Linked DNA regions of Arabidopsis thaliana. The protein of the gene in region 1 interacts with the protein of each later gene in a biochemical or structural test. Each region holds a gene or a part of one and is shown on either strand. Other genes may lie near its edges.

Region 1 (7,883 bases):
TTCTGCACCTTTGATGTTATCAACAACTCCATCTACCGTACGCTTTCTATATTCATTTTATTTTTTATTTATTCCATTTGATTCTTAACCCTACATTTCCCTTTTTATATTGATTTTTTTTAACTATTATTCGTTTACCTAATAAATAAACAGATGAGAATATAATCAAACCATGCAAAAACAAAACTATTGAGGGATATGAGTCACTTCTTTATTAGCTTCAACAAGAATTTGAGATACTTGGTTATTGAGATGACGTTTCTATGGGTATCTTTATCTATTTTTGATCAAAATGTTTACGAATAGTGAAATCAAATCATAAAAAGTGTTTCTGAGCGAGTGATAGATGCTTTCCATAAAATAAAATAAAAAATGGGCAAATGATCGACGGTGAAAAAAGTTATTTTCAGCTTCAATCACTCGAATTCATATTATTCTTTACATTGTTTTCAAGTTGATAATGATTACGAAAATATGTAAATATCACCAAAAACAAGTAGTAAATACCAAAACATAAAAAAAAAAACAGATAATGTGCCTGTATAATTCTCAGCAGAGTAGAGGGTTCCATTACTATCAAATCAGTTCATCAATGTACAATGATAAATAATTCATAAGAAAAAAAAAATGAGTATGCATCTGATGGTAGTTGAAAATAAGTAAATATGTCTGTTGAATGTGTATGGTTTATAACTTTACATTATTTCATGCGAATTTTACGTACCAAACATGGAATCTTTTTTTGTTCTTGCTCATACTTCAGTTAATTACGTTAGTAATTCGTAAAAAAGTTTCGTGGACCCCAAAACGAAATAAGATCCTCATGACAAATGCCAATCTGACACAAAACAGTTATGTCGCCATGGTACTATGCATGACACAAAAAGTAATTAACACAATTAAAAAGGATAATCAAGAGAAAAATATATATAAACTATAATTTCTTAATAAAAAGTACAACATTTTTAGATTTAGGATTTATAATTTACTTTCTATGGTTGTAATTTAAAATTTGAGATTTAGAGTTTAAGTATAGAATTTAGTTTTAACGTTAGGGTTTTGAATTTTAAATTGAAATTATGACATATTTTAAATGAATATAATCTAACATTCTTAGTTTTGGTATAAATGTAGACTTTATTTTAGTTGTTTAGGGTCTCATAAAAATGAAAAATGTGATTAGGTGGATACAAAAATGAGACATACTTGTTTTTATCAAAATAAATAAATGAGACATGCTTAAGGACCCCCTACCCATACCACCACAACACGCTTTGAATCATCTTCAATAGATGATAAGAGTCATGTAGTAAACGCTATACGACTATTCAGTAAGAAAATAAATAATTTGGTCAACTATTTCCCATCATAAATATGACATTACTATATGAGTGAGTATATAGATATTTCGTCAAAATGAACGCACCGATCAATGGAAAATAAAAGGCACCCATCAATGAGAACCTTATAATAAAACACACACACACAAATTCCGTATAGACCAGGTTTCAGTATTTTTGTTAGTTTGGAGTGTAATAACTCTTTTTTTTTTCTTGGAGTAAAAATGAGTACAAGTACCTTAGTGAACAAATTTATTGTTTTGTTGGAATTAAACTGTTGATCAATAATTCGACACGACAGTAAATAACTCACTGGGACAACCAAAAAAGTCATATTAATTCATGGAACATATATATGCTGACAAACAAAAACAAATCATGGAACATCTATTTGGTGTTTTCCAAAAGCAAATATCGTCTTTAAGTCAGAAAATGCAAACAATTTTGGCCGCAAAAAAAAGCATGGGTTAGAAAGTTTGAAAGAAATCGAGTTATATCAAACTGGTGAAAATTGGCGACACAATCTGTTTTTTACTGAATATGTTTCTATTAAAACGAGTTCGGTTGTGATGTTTACTCAACTAGTAGAAAAAAAAAAAAAAAAAAAGAAGAAAAACGCCATTCTGGTCAACAAATTTTGGGCCAATATTCCAAATACACGTTACTATATTTTCGATTGAAATGTCGTATTGTAATTAATACAGTATAGTAGTAGAACAATATTAGAGACACGTACGTAGGTTTGGTTAGATGCTTTTGTCTATAACTCTATGCCAAGTAATGATTGGTGATTCGTCAATCGTAATTCTTTTTTTTTATATATAAACCCAAATAATTTGCTTTACAATCTCTGAATTCTATGTTTTGAGATCATCCATATTCCAATCTAACTGTCGTTAAGGCTCTTCTTTCAAAGGAAGACCCTATTTGCAAGTTGGACACAGACGGACAAGTTCTCAACGATTAGGAGAAAATCGTTAGGACTAATCAAAGTTTTAGATAGGTACCACTACCTAAATAAACTATGTACGAGGACGATACATCCAGTACAAGAGAAATATATATGCAACCTCATCATATAAAATCATAGTCACGAGATTTTATGACAGATCTTAGTCGTACATAAATGGCTGACAGATTTGCATGATATATTGCAATGATATATTTTTTTTTAACCCAAAACATTTTACCAGCTTATATCAACAATAGACATATATATAATCTGAAATAAGGAATCTAATAAAATAGCTCTTAATATTGAATTTAAAGAAGAAAAAAAGTGAAACAAAGCATTCGAGATTTGATGTCGAAGTCCACATCGGGAAGCGAAGGTCATCAAACGGCCACTTGGACTCCGATGAGAAAATTTCAAGTGGGCTGCTTGTTGGCTTTTAGTATAATATTGACCACAAATTATTTATATGCTTTTTAGTTATAATATGCAGATATTGTATCTATATAATACTCCATGAATAGTATACATATGAGTGTGTTTCTTTTTGTTAAATATCCAAGGAAGAGTGCATAATCATTTTGGAACCATTTATGTTTAAATAATAAAATTTATGATATATATACTGTATCAAAATAACTATGTGTTATTAGAGAAAATGAAGATATAGTCATTAAGTTAGGTAATTTAATATGTACAATATTTTAAGAATATCATGTCATTTTATAAATTTATATTATTTCAAACCAAACTAAATTGCTTTAGCTTCTGTCGAAACTGCCTACTATTTAAATTTGTTTTTCTAAAAACTTCTTTGATCGAATTAGCTTTCCCGAAGTTCTAGTACAATTCTAAAAATTGTGTACTAGAATCTACAAATAGCATATTAAACTTTAAATTTCCTTTGAACTAGCTTGTACATAAACTACCATTTCTTTTCTTGTTTATTTGTGACTTAAGTGTTAAAATTTTTCTTCACACCATCTAGCAAAACACCTAACATTGTTCCCTTTCCAATAATCGAATCGCCTATCCTACAATCATCGATAATTTAGTATAGGATCTAGAAGACTTACTATGACTAATTTTGACAATGGTGAAATAATCAAACTTTTTTTATTAAACTAATGTGTTGTATTGGATCAGAAAACATGATTTACATAATGTTTGTAACATTGATATCACCCCCTACATGTATATTAAAAGCCTTATCGACTCCAAATTTTTACCGAAAAAATTGAAAAATTGTTCAAAAACACAGTTTTAGGATCTCATTATACAGATCAAATCACACGAATTCATATCATAATAATTTTTTTGGAAGTCCGGTTATTTTACTAATTTGATCCAACATATCTATGATGAATCTTAGTTAAGATGTGGTGATCACTCAAACAGTAAATTTGTAAATTTTGTTCATTAAAATCAGTTTCTTGTGGACAAAACCATCCTATTTTTGGCAAATCAAAGAAAATATAATTAATCTCAAAGAAAAAAGCTACAAGAAAAAAAAAATGGCCTCAAAATAAAAATAGAAAATATCTGACAAGACTGCCCGAAATCACAAGTAACTGTAACAAAACTGACAACGGGCAAAAAAAAAAAAAAAAAAAAAAAAAACTGCCCGTCGGGCAAATCCTCCAATAGAGAGTCGTCTCTCTTTATCTCCGTCTCTCTCTTTTTTTTTTAATCAACTTTATAAAAAAAACAAAAAAAAAATTTAAAAATTAATATCTTCTCAACAAATGACTCTATCAATGTGTACATAAATGTGAATCTTCTTCCCTCTTCTTCTTCTCCATTGTTAAAAGCTCTCACACAACCACCGTTCTCCGTCACGGTGGCGCTTTATTCTCTCATCGGAGCGCCTCACCGGTGGCAGACGGTGTCGTTGTTCCTCTCCTAAAACCTCCATCAATCACCATCTCTTTACACAGAGCTCTAACCAAAATCTTCGAGAGATGGGGCAGAGTATGAGCTGTGGAAGTCGACCGGAGCACGGAATATTCGCCTCTGTACAGTGCGGCGATATCATCACTATCCGTCGTGTGATGGCGACGGAGCCTAGTCTGTTGAATCAAACTACTCCTTATGATCGTCACTCTGTTCTTCATGTCGCTGCTGCTAATGGTCAGATCGAGGTTAGTTTCAGTGATATTCTCCGAGATCTCGCCGGAATCTCGTCGGAATCTGGTATTTTTGTTTCTGATGTATCTACTTTTTTTGCAGATTTTGTCATTGCTTTTGGAACGATTTACGAATCCAGATTTGTTGAATCGTCACAAGCAGGTTTTTGATTTTCGCATTGATCTGTTCTGTGTATAGTTTTCATGAATCTTTTGCTGATGCTTTGATTCGTCTTGTAGACTCCGTTAATGTTGGCTGCGATGTATGGAAGAATCTCTTGTGTGAAGAAGCTAGCTGAAGTTGGAGCTAATGTACGTTTACTTTTTTGTTTTGCAATTGAATCGATTTTGGATTTGGTAATTGAAAATCTTTTGGAATCTGCAGATTTTGATGTTTGATTCTGTGAATCGAAGAACATGTTTGCATTACGCTGCTTATTATGGACATGCTAATTGTGTTCAAGCTATTCTCTCTGCTGCTCAATCAAGTCCTGTTGCTGTCCATTGGTAAGTCTCTTCCTATCTTTGATCAGAGTTTACTTATTCCTGAGAATGAAACTTTTGACACTCAGGGGTTTTCATTTTCAGGGGATATGCGAGATTTGTGAACATAAGAGATGATAAAGGAGCGACTCCGTTGCATTTAGCTGCTCGACAGAGACGACCTGAATGTGTGAATGTTTTGTTGGATAGTGGTTCTCTTGTTTGTGCATCTACTAGTGTATATGGGTAATGGTTTTTCTTGTCATGCATTGAAATCAACAGTTCTTAGATGTTTTGTTCTATTGGAACTGATTCTTTAAGCTTTTGTTGAAACAGTTCTCCAGGAAGCACACCTCTTCATTTAGCAGCTAGAAGTGGATCTATAGATTGTGTCAGAAAGTTGCTTGCTTGGGGTGCTGATCGTCTTCAACGAGACGCTTCTGGGTATATATATAAATTTTGTGGAAAAGTCTTGTTTTGGTTTCAGAACATAACTTGAATCTTGAAATATCTTTTCAGGAGAATACCTTATGTGGTTGCGATGAAGCATAAGCATGGAGCATGTGGAGCCTTACTTAATCCGTCCTCTGCAGAGCCACTTGTTTGGCCATCACCATTAAAGTTCATCAGTGAGCTTAATGACGAGGCGAAACTTCTCTTAGAGCAGGCTTTAATGGAGGCTAACAGGGAGAGAGAGAAAACCATCCTCAAAGGAACAGCTTATTCCTTACCATCACCCTCTTTCTCTGACACGGATGATAACATGTCCGAGGTAATAATACTACACTCTTTACTTTCCCCGTGGCTCGGTAATTTTTGTGATTGTAGTAACATGTAAATGTGTCTATAGGTGAGTGATACGGAACTGTGCTGCATTTGCTTTGAGCAAGTATGTACAATTGAAGTTAAAGACTGTGGTCACCAAATGTGTGCACAATGCACACTTGCACTGTGCTGTCACAACAAACCAAACCCAACGACCTCAACCGTGACTCCACCGGTCTGTCCGTTCTGTAGAAGCACCATTGCATGTTTAGTCGTCGCCCAGAACAACAACAACAACAACGAAAAGAGCAAAAGCCTAGATGATGTTGTTGTTGTTGATCGTGAGGCAGGTGATGTTAGCTCCTCCAAATTCAGAAAACATAGAAGATCAATAAACCTTGGCGAAGAAAGCAGCAGCTTCATGGGACTATCAACTATTGGATCATTCGGTAGGATAACCGGCCGTGGCTCGGGAAGGATCGCAGCCGAAAACGAGCTGATGGACAAACCAATATTGTGAGGGATCGATTCCGTTTTAAGGGACATTTTGGGGCATGGGGGAGCAATAAAAAAGATGAGGGGATGAAATTGTGAGAATGTATAAAATATAGATGAATTTATGTTAGATCTTTTGTTGAAGGGAGGAAGATTGAAATAAGGAAAAAGATGTGGGGAGGTGTGTAATGCAAGGATTTGTTGTTTCTTTGATTAAGTTTGGCCAAAATTGTTTGTTGTTGTTATTATTTGGTTACTTGATATGAAAGGGAAACCCATAATCTTTTTGTCTTTGTCTCACTTTTTTTGGTTATTTTCTCACTTAACTTACCAAGAAAAGGCAAATTAGACTTTTCGCCTACTATTTCATTAAAAATGATAATTTTCGTTTGTCTAATTTTATATTTTCACTATATACAAAAACCTGGAGAATTTAGGTTGGATTTGTGAGAAGGGAACAAATGTGATGTGAACGGCTGCTAATAAGTCGCCAACGACCAACGTGGATTAAGATGGAGAGTCTGAAAAAGAAGAAGAAAAGGTTTTATCTCGGTGGTGTTTAGGGATCATTGACCCTACACGATCCCATCACTTTCTAGCAACTTGTGGTCTCCAAATATGGCTCCTTTGTACTTTAACTAAAATATCTAAAACATTTTTAACTTTGGTCAATTTAGATCAACTAGTAGATACACATGGCCACTTTTTGTTTATTCTTGGACAATTAGTTTTGGTACGTCAAGACAATTAGTATCGAGTCATAGGGAAGACCGATTCGGTGGGTATTTATTTATCTAAATCGATTTTAGAAAAGTAAACCTACTGGTTATGATAACATAAAATTAGACAAACGAAAAGAATGCGTGATTGATTTCTTACTTTTATATGTCTAAAACGTGTTTAAGCCTAAAGAGTAGGTTGAATCGATGTCAAGAAGAAGAAGAAAAATAAAAAAATAAAAATAAATACAAAGTGATAAAAATTAGAGGGATAAATGGATTAGATATCATAAAATTCTACAATATTTGAAAATGGTATTTGAACAACAACTATTAAGATCCATATTCGAGATTTTTGGATATCTGGATATTTTGATATCCAAGTTTTAGATTTCGAATGTCCGTCCAAACATTGAAATATTCTAAAAATTCAAATCATATCCGTGAGAAAATAAATAATTCACATGAAAATTATATAAAATAGATAATGCTAAAATTTTAAATATTTCTATGCAAATTAAATCTACTATAGTATAAAAATGAAAATGAGTTAGTATATGTAGTTTTATATGAAAAATCAAATACTACAGATGCAAAAACTATTAGGTGATTTTTTTTTCCATATATTTAGCTAATCCGATTGCATATTTTATAATCAAAATATCAAAATTTAGAACTAGTAACTCTGATGAATCCAAAAAAAAAATTTAGAATGGGTGTGATGAAATAGTAAATAGGATTTTAAATCTTTGATAGTAATTTCATCGCTAAACACAATTAGGCAATTTATGATGCTTAAACCTGTCCCAGTTTTGGTACTTAGTAATTCCACCTCTAGTCACAATTGTGTAAGTTTGTCATGCTTTGACATTTCAATTCTAACTTTTCGGACCCACTTTTCTGGTGGTATAATTAGTTGTCGGGTTATGAACCCGACCCAAGGGTTGATGAAAGCAGATTTAGATTAGATACCTTAACCCACCAAGAAACTAATTTCGATATA
Region 2 (8,952 bases), about 12 Mb from region 1:
TCCGTTTTTATTATTAAAAATTTTAAAAAAAAATCAACATCTACTATTTCTATTTTGGATTATTTCCCTTTAATAAAGACAAAATCTTGCTCTTAAGATCTCTTAAACTTTATGGTAACCCCAAATGTATTATATCTACTATAAAAACACACAGAAATCCACCTAATGATTCAATTAACGGAAGCAAAGATTTGAAACTATAGTGGTCGGATGGAAGAAAGTATCGATAGAGTCATAGAGATGTGGTCTTTTTTTAATGTATTAAGATCTTAGCTAAATAACTTCTGATTCTCATTAATTGTAAAGTATGTGTACAATGAACTATATATACAAGTATCAATACGCACATGTAAATGTCAACTATACTATATACAATCAACTAACTATATACACATATCTAATAGAATGAATCCTCAAACAACACACTATTAAACCAACTTGAATCGTCAAAGTAATTCACTCGTAAACACATCAAATACTTAGTGATTCCACACTAAAACTCACATGCAAATAGAATTCAAATACTACACACTTTGGACAAAAAAAAATAACTAAAAGTCTAAAACGTTTACCGAATATTTTTCAATGTTGATTCTTTATGGCCATGGGGAGAAGTCAATCTTTGTGGTATACTGTATTTACTCACTACTCATACAAAATTGCAAATTAGTCTGATTTCGATTGGAATTACTTGTTGAGCGGTCAAATAACTTGACGTTCAAGAGAATACAGAACAAAATTCATACAAAACAGATATAAGGATTAGTGGTAGTGAAAAGAAGAATTTACATAAAGAATTATTTAAAAATATTGGGGCCAAAGGAATCATAACCTCTCATGCCACTAAACCACGAGCTAATTGATGTTGTTTCTTTTGTGGGGCTTTTTCTCTATTACTCTCCACTATTCGGTCCTTTATTTATTAAACAGAATCAATAAAATATACTCTATAGTCTTCAACAGTATGATATATTACAAATTTATAACACACAAAATCACACTATAGGTGATAAGATTTGCACTATTAATTGCAATGGAAAAATGTTCTAAGAATAATTATTTCTTACTAGAAACTATTGATCTTAAAGAAATAGTCTCTTGTGCAATTGAATGGTAGCTAGGGTATAACCAATTGAAACATTTTAAAATATGACTTGTGTATATTTTTTTCTTTAATATGTGTATATGATTATTTATCAATGAACATTTCAAAATAGCATTTTCTCGTTGGCTGAAATAATCAAGCTAATATTTTGCTTAAGTCATACAAATCTACTCATAAACTTGGTGGAAGAAGGCAGTGTAATGATGAAAAGGATGGAGTGTGTGACATGGAACATGATATAAAGGCTCATCTATGGCATATTATATGAAACTAAACTAATTAAAATCACATAAAAATGGAAAAAGAAGTGAGCAACATTATGGTTACACCTTAAAGTTTGTTATTGTAATTTGTAAAGTCACTTCTCTGTTCATTCCCCCACGCCTCTGCCTCGACAGTGAACATTGGATCAACCAAATTTTACAAAAGACCATTTCATATGCGATGCATATTATGACTAAATTGGGTCCCAATTATTTTGACCACACACCCCACCATATGAAATATTTGTATATCGGTTTGGAATAATTTCTCCCAAAATTCCTTTCAATATAATTGCCATTCTTTTGTAAAAGGTTTTGTTTTTTTTTTAAATAAAGTATTAATACAATACACAACAAAAACAAAACAAATTATCCCAAAATTCCAAACTTGATGTGATTATAGACTAGAATTTCTATTATGTTCGTTTTTATTAGTGTTGTCACTATATCACTAACTATATTCATATTCAGTTGCTTGTCAATTATTTTTTTTTGCCAGTCTTAGATTTATTATTTATTGCACTGTTACATAGACGATTCTACAACGGACAATTCCTTCCGACTCTTATTAGATCTAGTTGCTTGTCATCTAATATTTAAATTATTTTAAGAAATGTTATACAACTAATATTTAAATCATTTTAAGAAATGTTATACAACAATAGTATATAGCTAAATTTTTAAATGGAAGTTTATATAATACTACACTTTTTCTTCATTGAAATTTGTGAAACATCTCATAGATACAATTCCCATTTAGAAAATTAGCAGTGATCATAATTCTTTCTAAGGTTCAAAATCCCCACATGGAGCTTTAATGAATTAAAATTATGAAACCATTAGAAACAAATAGATATAGGACTAAATGAAACTGAAAACATATTTTTCTAAATATTAGAGTTTTATTCTATAAACTGAACTTAATTTTTTTGATTATCAAACAACATGTATTCTATTAGATTAATAATGTCACTTACACAAATCACTACAAGTCATGATCACAATTCCACAAAATCATAAGATTGATCATAACCATTTAATAAATCAATCATCTATTAGAAAAACATCATATGTAAAAAAAAACGATTCGACAAAGATGTTTTAAAAATAATAAGCATCAACAATTAATAAAACTTAATAAATTACCTAAAAGCAGCTTTTTCTTTTCTTCAAAAAAAGCCCTTTTTCTTCCTCTGCTTTAGCATCGTCTCTTTATCATCTAAATGTTTCAACTTACTTACTTCTCCTTCTCCATTCAAACTCAAAAAACCTCCCTCCAATGACTACTTCACCAATCCGGGTTCGGATCCGGACTCGGATCCAAATCTCCTTCATCTTCCTCCTTACCCATCTCTCACAATCTTCCTCCTCCGACCAATCTTCACTCAAAACCGACTCATTATCACTCCTCTCTTTCAAAACAATGATCCAAGATGATCCAAACAACATTCTCTCAAACTGGTCACCTCGTAAATCCCCTTGTCAATTCTCCGGCGTCACTTGTCTCGGAGGAAGAGTCACCGAGATTAATCTCTCCGGTAGTGGCCTCTCCGGAATCGTCTCCTTCAATGCTTTCACCTCTCTTGATTCTCTCTCTGTTCTCAAACTCTCAGAGAACTTCTTCGTCTTAAACTCAACCTCTCTTCTTCTTCTTCCTTTAACCCTAACTCATCTCGAACTCTCTTCCTCCGGTTTAATCGGAACCCTCCCTGAAAATTTCTTCTCCAAATACTCAAATCTTATTTCCATCACCCTCTCTTACAATAACTTCACCGGAAAGTTACCTAATGATCTTTTCTTAAGCAGCAAGAAACTCCAAACCCTTGATCTTTCTTACAACAACATTACCGGTCCAATCTCCGGTTTAACCATTCCTCTTTCTTCTTGCGTCTCCATGACCTATCTCGATTTCTCCGGTAACAGTATCTCCGGCTATATCTCTGACTCACTCATCAACTGCACCAACCTCAAAAGCTTGAATCTTTCTTACAACAACTTCGATGGGCAGATTCCAAAATCTTTCGGTGAGCTTAAACTCTTACAAAGTTTGGATCTTTCTCATAACCGACTCACCGGTTGGATCCCGCCGGAGATCGGAGATACTTGCCGGTCATTACAAAACCTCCGGCTTTCTTACAACAACTTCACTGGTGTGATCCCTGAGTCGTTGTCCTCATGTTCTTGGCTACAAAGTCTTGACCTTTCAAACAACAACATCTCCGGTCCGTTTCCGAACACTATCCTCCGGAGTTTTGGATCTCTTCAAATCTTACTTCTCAGCAACAACTTAATCTCCGGTGACTTTCCGACTTCAATCTCTGCTTGTAAGAGCTTGAGAATCGCTGACTTCAGCTCGAATCGATTCTCCGGTGTGATTCCACCGGATTTATGTCCCGGAGCAGCTTCATTAGAAGAGCTAAGACTCCCGGATAATCTCGTCACCGGAGAGATTCCACCGGCGATATCTCAATGCTCTGAGCTACGAACGATTGATCTCAGTCTCAATTATCTCAACGGTACAATCCCACCGGAGATCGGAAACCTCCAGAAACTCGAGCAATTCATAGCTTGGTACAACAACATCGCCGGAGAAATCCCACCGGAGATCGGAAAACTACAAAACCTAAAAGATTTGATCCTCAACAACAATCAACTCACCGGAGAAATCCCACCGGAATTTTTCAATTGCAGTAACATCGAATGGGTCTCATTCACAAGCAACAGATTAACCGGAGAAGTGCCTAAAGATTTCGGAATCCTTTCCCGGTTAGCCGTTCTTCAGCTCGGTAACAACAATTTCACCGGAGAAATCCCACCGGAGCTAGGAAAATGCACAACTCTGGTTTGGCTTGATCTTAACACAAACCACTTAACCGGTGAAATCCCTCCCCGGTTAGGTCGTCAACCCGGTTCAAAAGCACTTTCCGGTTTACTCTCAGGAAACACAATGGCTTTTGTTAGAAACGTTGGAAACTCATGTAAAGGTGTTGGAGGTTTGGTTGAGTTCTCAGGGATCAGACCAGAGAGGCTTCTTCAGATTCCATCTCTTAAAAGCTGTGACTTCACAAGAATGTATTCAGGTCCAATTTTGAGTCTATTCACAAGATATCAAACCATTGAGTATCTTGATCTTTCTTATAATCAGCTTAGAGGTAAAATCCCTGATGAGATTGGAGAAATGATTGCTCTTCAAGTTCTTGAGCTTTCTCATAATCAACTCTCCGGCGAGATTCCGTTTACGATTGGTCAGCTCAAGAATCTCGGTGTTTTCGATGCTTCGGATAATCGGTTGCAGGGTCAAATCCCTGAATCTTTCTCGAATTTGTCTTTCTTGGTGCAGATTGATTTGTCGAATAACGAGTTAACTGGTCCGATTCCTCAGAGAGGTCAGTTAAGCACGCTTCCGGCGACTCAGTACGCGAATAATCCGGGGCTTTGCGGTGTTCCTTTACCGGAATGTAAGAATGGAAACAATCAGCTTCCTGCTGGAACAGAGGAAGGGAAACGTGCTAAGCACGGAACTAGGGCAGCTTCTTGGGCGAATAGCATTGTTTTGGGAGTGTTGATTTCCGCTGCTTCGGTTTGTATTTTAATCGTTTGGGCGATTGCGGTTCGTGCGAGGAGGAGAGATGCGGATGATGCGAAGATGCTTCACAGTTTGCAGGCGGTTAATTCCGCCACTACATGGAAGATAGAGAAGGAGAAAGAGCCGTTGAGTATTAATGTAGCGACGTTTCAGCGACAGTTGAGAAAGCTTAAGTTTTCGCAGCTTATCGAGGCGACAAACGGATTCTCAGCCGCGAGTATGATCGGACACGGCGGATTCGGTGAGGTTTTTAAGGCGACGCTTAAAGACGGGTCTTCCGTGGCGATCAAGAAGCTCATTAGACTTAGTTGTCAAGGAGATCGAGAGTTCATGGCAGAAATGGAAACCTTAGGGAAGATCAAACACCGAAACCTCGTACCGCTCTTGGGATACTGTAAAATCGGGGAAGAGAGATTGCTTGTTTACGAGTTTATGCAATACGGAAGCCTCGAGGAGGTGCTTCACGGACCAAGAACAGGCGAAAAACGGAGGATTTTAGGTTGGGAAGAGAGGAAAAAGATTGCAAAAGGAGCAGCAAAAGGACTTTGTTTCTTGCATCACAATTGTATCCCTCACATAATCCACCGCGACATGAAATCGAGCAACGTGCTTCTCGATCAAGACATGGAAGCAAGAGTTTCAGATTTCGGAATGGCGAGACTGATCAGCGCATTAGACACACATTTGAGTGTAAGTACCTTGGCAGGCACGCCAGGTTACGTACCACCAGAGTATTACCAAAGTTTCAGATGTACCGCAAAAGGCGACGTGTACTCAATCGGAGTAGTGATGCTCGAGATCTTAAGCGGGAAAAGACCAACGGATAAAGAAGAGTTTGGTGATACGAATTTAGTAGGTTGGTCGAAGATGAAGGCAAGAGAAGGGAAACACATGGAAGTGATTGATGAAGACCTTCTAAAAGAAGGTTCTTCGGAGTCTCTGAATGAGAAAGAAGGTTTTGAAGGAGGAGTGATTGTGAAAGAAATGTTGAGGTATTTGGAGATAGCGTTACGGTGCGTTGACGATTTCCCATCAAAGAGACCTAATATGTTACAAGTTGTTGCTTCGTTGAGAGAACTTCGTGGAAGTGAAAATAATAGTCACAGTCACAGTAACAGCTTGTAACAACATGAAGATCTCTGTTTTTTTTTGTTTTTCTGGCTTTTTCAATGCATTTTTTTTTCCTGTGAGAATGTGTATGTGTGGTTGATCAATGATTAAAATTTCATGATGTATCAAGACTTAATTAATGTAATTTAAATTCTGATTCCTTTAATAAATAACTATGCAGATTATAACAAATCAGAGTCTTAGTTGGTGAATTGTTCTTTATTACCGAGTGTCGTTAGCTCAATTGGTAAAGACCGTAAACGAAGCTTAGAGAACGCCGATTTGAGTAACGCTTGAAACGAAACTAATATTACACGATGTGGTTTCGTGCATGAAAGGATTACCGACATTGGCCCAGAACTTCCTGGTATTAGAAAAAAAAAAAAAAAAAAATTGTTCTTTATTAAACGCTCGAATACACACGATTAGGCTTTGGATAGAGAACATACAAATGGGCTCAACAACTGAAGTTTCAAAATTATATTTGGGCCATAAAGAACTATTTAGAATATAGAAACATTAGGCCCATAATGACTCTTTCTCCTTCAGGCCTATGAACATCTAACACTATAAGACTATACATTCGTGAGTAGAATATTTTTTTTTGTGAGAATAGTATTTCAAACCACAAAAGAGAATATATTTCAATGTGTTACTTCATTAGTATGTGTGAATTTATACTTGTTGATGTGAATCAAGTAGGTGGTTGTCTAGTAATTTAGAGTTTTCAAATTTCAATAGTTCCATTCTAATTGAAAGAAATGATTAACACATTAACAACGGTATTATCAAACGGTTGTTTTTGGATATGGAGGAGAATATAGGTCAAAAACTGTGGTCACTTTTTCAAAATATAAAAGGAGAATATGGAGGAGAATATAGGTTAAAATATAATCACCTCTAAAATAGAAAAAATTATAGTGGTCACTTTTTCAAAATATTTAGAAGTTGCATGCTTTCGGATATGCAACTTCTAAATATTTTGAAAAAGTGACCACTATAATTTTTTTTATTTTAGAGGTGATTATATTTTAGAGGCATTGTGCACCAATAGTCACGTATAAAATAGAGTTTCCTCAAAAAGTAAACATCTCTATTTAAAAAAAAATATATCTCTATTTTTTTTTATAAGAAAACTTAATTTTAGAGATGATTATTAGAATACAATACCTCTAAAATAGAATCACCTTTAAAAATAAAGAAAAATATAGAAAGACCATTGAAAATACCCTAAGAAAATTAGGTCTCATATCATCATTGTTTGAAAAATGTGCAAATCTATAAGACTATATAAACAGACCTATAACTATACTATTTCGGTAGATTGTATATCGTTTTTTTTTTCGTAGATTGTATATCGTATAGAATGTATAAAAACTGTATAGTATAAGATGTTACGTGAAAGTGGAGAGCAGAGAAATAATAGTATCTTAGTAGTAGAATTCACGTGTGACAAGACATCTCGACGGTGGGATCCCAGTAACTATCTAAGGGGTAAACTTGTAAATTAACAAAACAGAGTAAAGGATTTTGCAGGCGCGGGGTATATTTGTCTCTGCAAACCCACACTGGCAATCAAATAGTTTTTCTCTTTCCTCTGTTACATCAAAAAAATTATGTAAATAATTTTGTCTTACTTTACTTTTTTTACTGTTATATTTTTAATTTTTTATCGTCCTTTTGCTCTACTTTATCTAGAAGAACACTCCCCTCCCTGCAATTTTGATATATAAGTTAAAAAATATTACAGTAAGATATGTGTATCAAATCCTCGCAAGAATATTGATGTTTCTTTTGTTTTTATATGTCACAATTCGAATTTTGTTTCTTTTAGCTAACAATGCCACAATGCATGTTTCCTTTCCTGTGTGATCTGACACTTTCTCACAGCCTTATCTCTTTTCTGTTGAAAACAAATTTTGGTCTTTAACCCAAAAAAAAAAATGTTGGTCTTACTAAACATAATTTGTTTCCAAAATTTGTTTTATAAGGACCAAAATTTGTTTTGTAATTCAGGTCATAAATGATGATATAAACCGCACCTAAAACCGCAATGCAACAATGCTGTAATAATATCAAAATCTATATATAGATATATGTATTTATGTATTTTCGTTATTATTTGAACCGCACCGCATTTTTCCCGCACCGCAAAACGCAGTCACCATTCGGATCCTCGATATATATAAATAAGCCTTATTCTTCTGGAAAATAAATGGTAGTACAGTTGACTTGTCACATCGTATAAAAGGGTTAAGAAATAAATGAAAGCAAACGAATACTACATTTTCATGAGTATCATGGATGATAGATTGATTCATAGATCATATAATGCCGATAATTATTCTGAACGGTTAAAACTAGCATAATATTTTCTTAGGTTAAAATGAACTTATCTTTTAAACACGTCCTATTGTATATTTGTAGTGCATGTTGCATGTCTTATCTGAAAAAAAAAAGTGATTGAATTATTAGAGAAAACAATGGAAAGTGTCTAAATGGAAGATAACAAAGAACATATTGTGTCATGGGCAAAAATTATCAAGGTACACGTATATTAATAATGGAGATTGAACAATTTATGAAGATTTAAAATATATATTTGGAATTAAATGAGAAAGGAAAATGCCAAATTTTGATTTACTAAGAGCTAATATAAGAACAAAACTGAAAAAGACAAAATAATAAAATGCTTCAAGTTTCAGTGCAAAACACAGATATAGCAAAAGGGTCCATCCATATAATAGAGGGAGATTTAATATTTTATCTTACACATATTTAAGCAAATAAAGACAAACCTCAGCTGATATTCATCAATAATAATTAAATAAAGTATAGAAGCCAGCAAATACACAACGTTTATGTTATATGTGCATAGTTTTTGAAAT

The links. The genes of interacting proteins can lie anywhere in the genome.
Region 2: the proteins of XBAT31 (region 1) and BRL2 form a complex in vitro, tested with the Arabidopsis thaliana proteins (one study listed by BioGRID).

What each region holds. Positions count from the first base shown.
Region 1 is NC_003071.7:12,374,289-12,382,171, forward strand, and holds XBAT31 (uncharacterized protein), read left to right. Parts: upstream 1-3,983; 5' UTR 3,984-4,253; coding exon 4,254-4,433; coding exon of another isoform or gene 4,434-4,521; coding exon 4,522-4,581; intron 4,582-4,658; coding exon 4,659-4,730; intron 4,731-4,803; coding exon 4,804-4,925; intron 4,926-5,006; coding exon 5,007-5,147; intron 5,148-5,237; coding exon 5,238-5,345; intron 5,346-5,420; coding exon 5,421-5,673; intron 5,674-5,751; coding exon 5,752-6,186; 3' UTR 6,187-6,521; downstream 6,522-7,883. UniProt on the Arabidopsis thaliana protein: No E3 ubiquitin-protein ligase activity observed when associated with the E2 enzyme UBC8 in vitro.
Region 2 is NC_003071.7:437,932-446,883, reverse strand, and holds BRL2 (BRI1-like 2), read left to right. Parts: upstream 1-2,559; 5' UTR 2,560-2,647; coding exon 2,648-6,079; 3' UTR 6,080-6,260; downstream 6,261-8,952. UniProt on the Arabidopsis thaliana protein: Receptor with a serine/threonine-protein kinase activity, which may transduce extracellular spatial and temporal signals into downstream cell differentiation responses in provascular and procambial cells.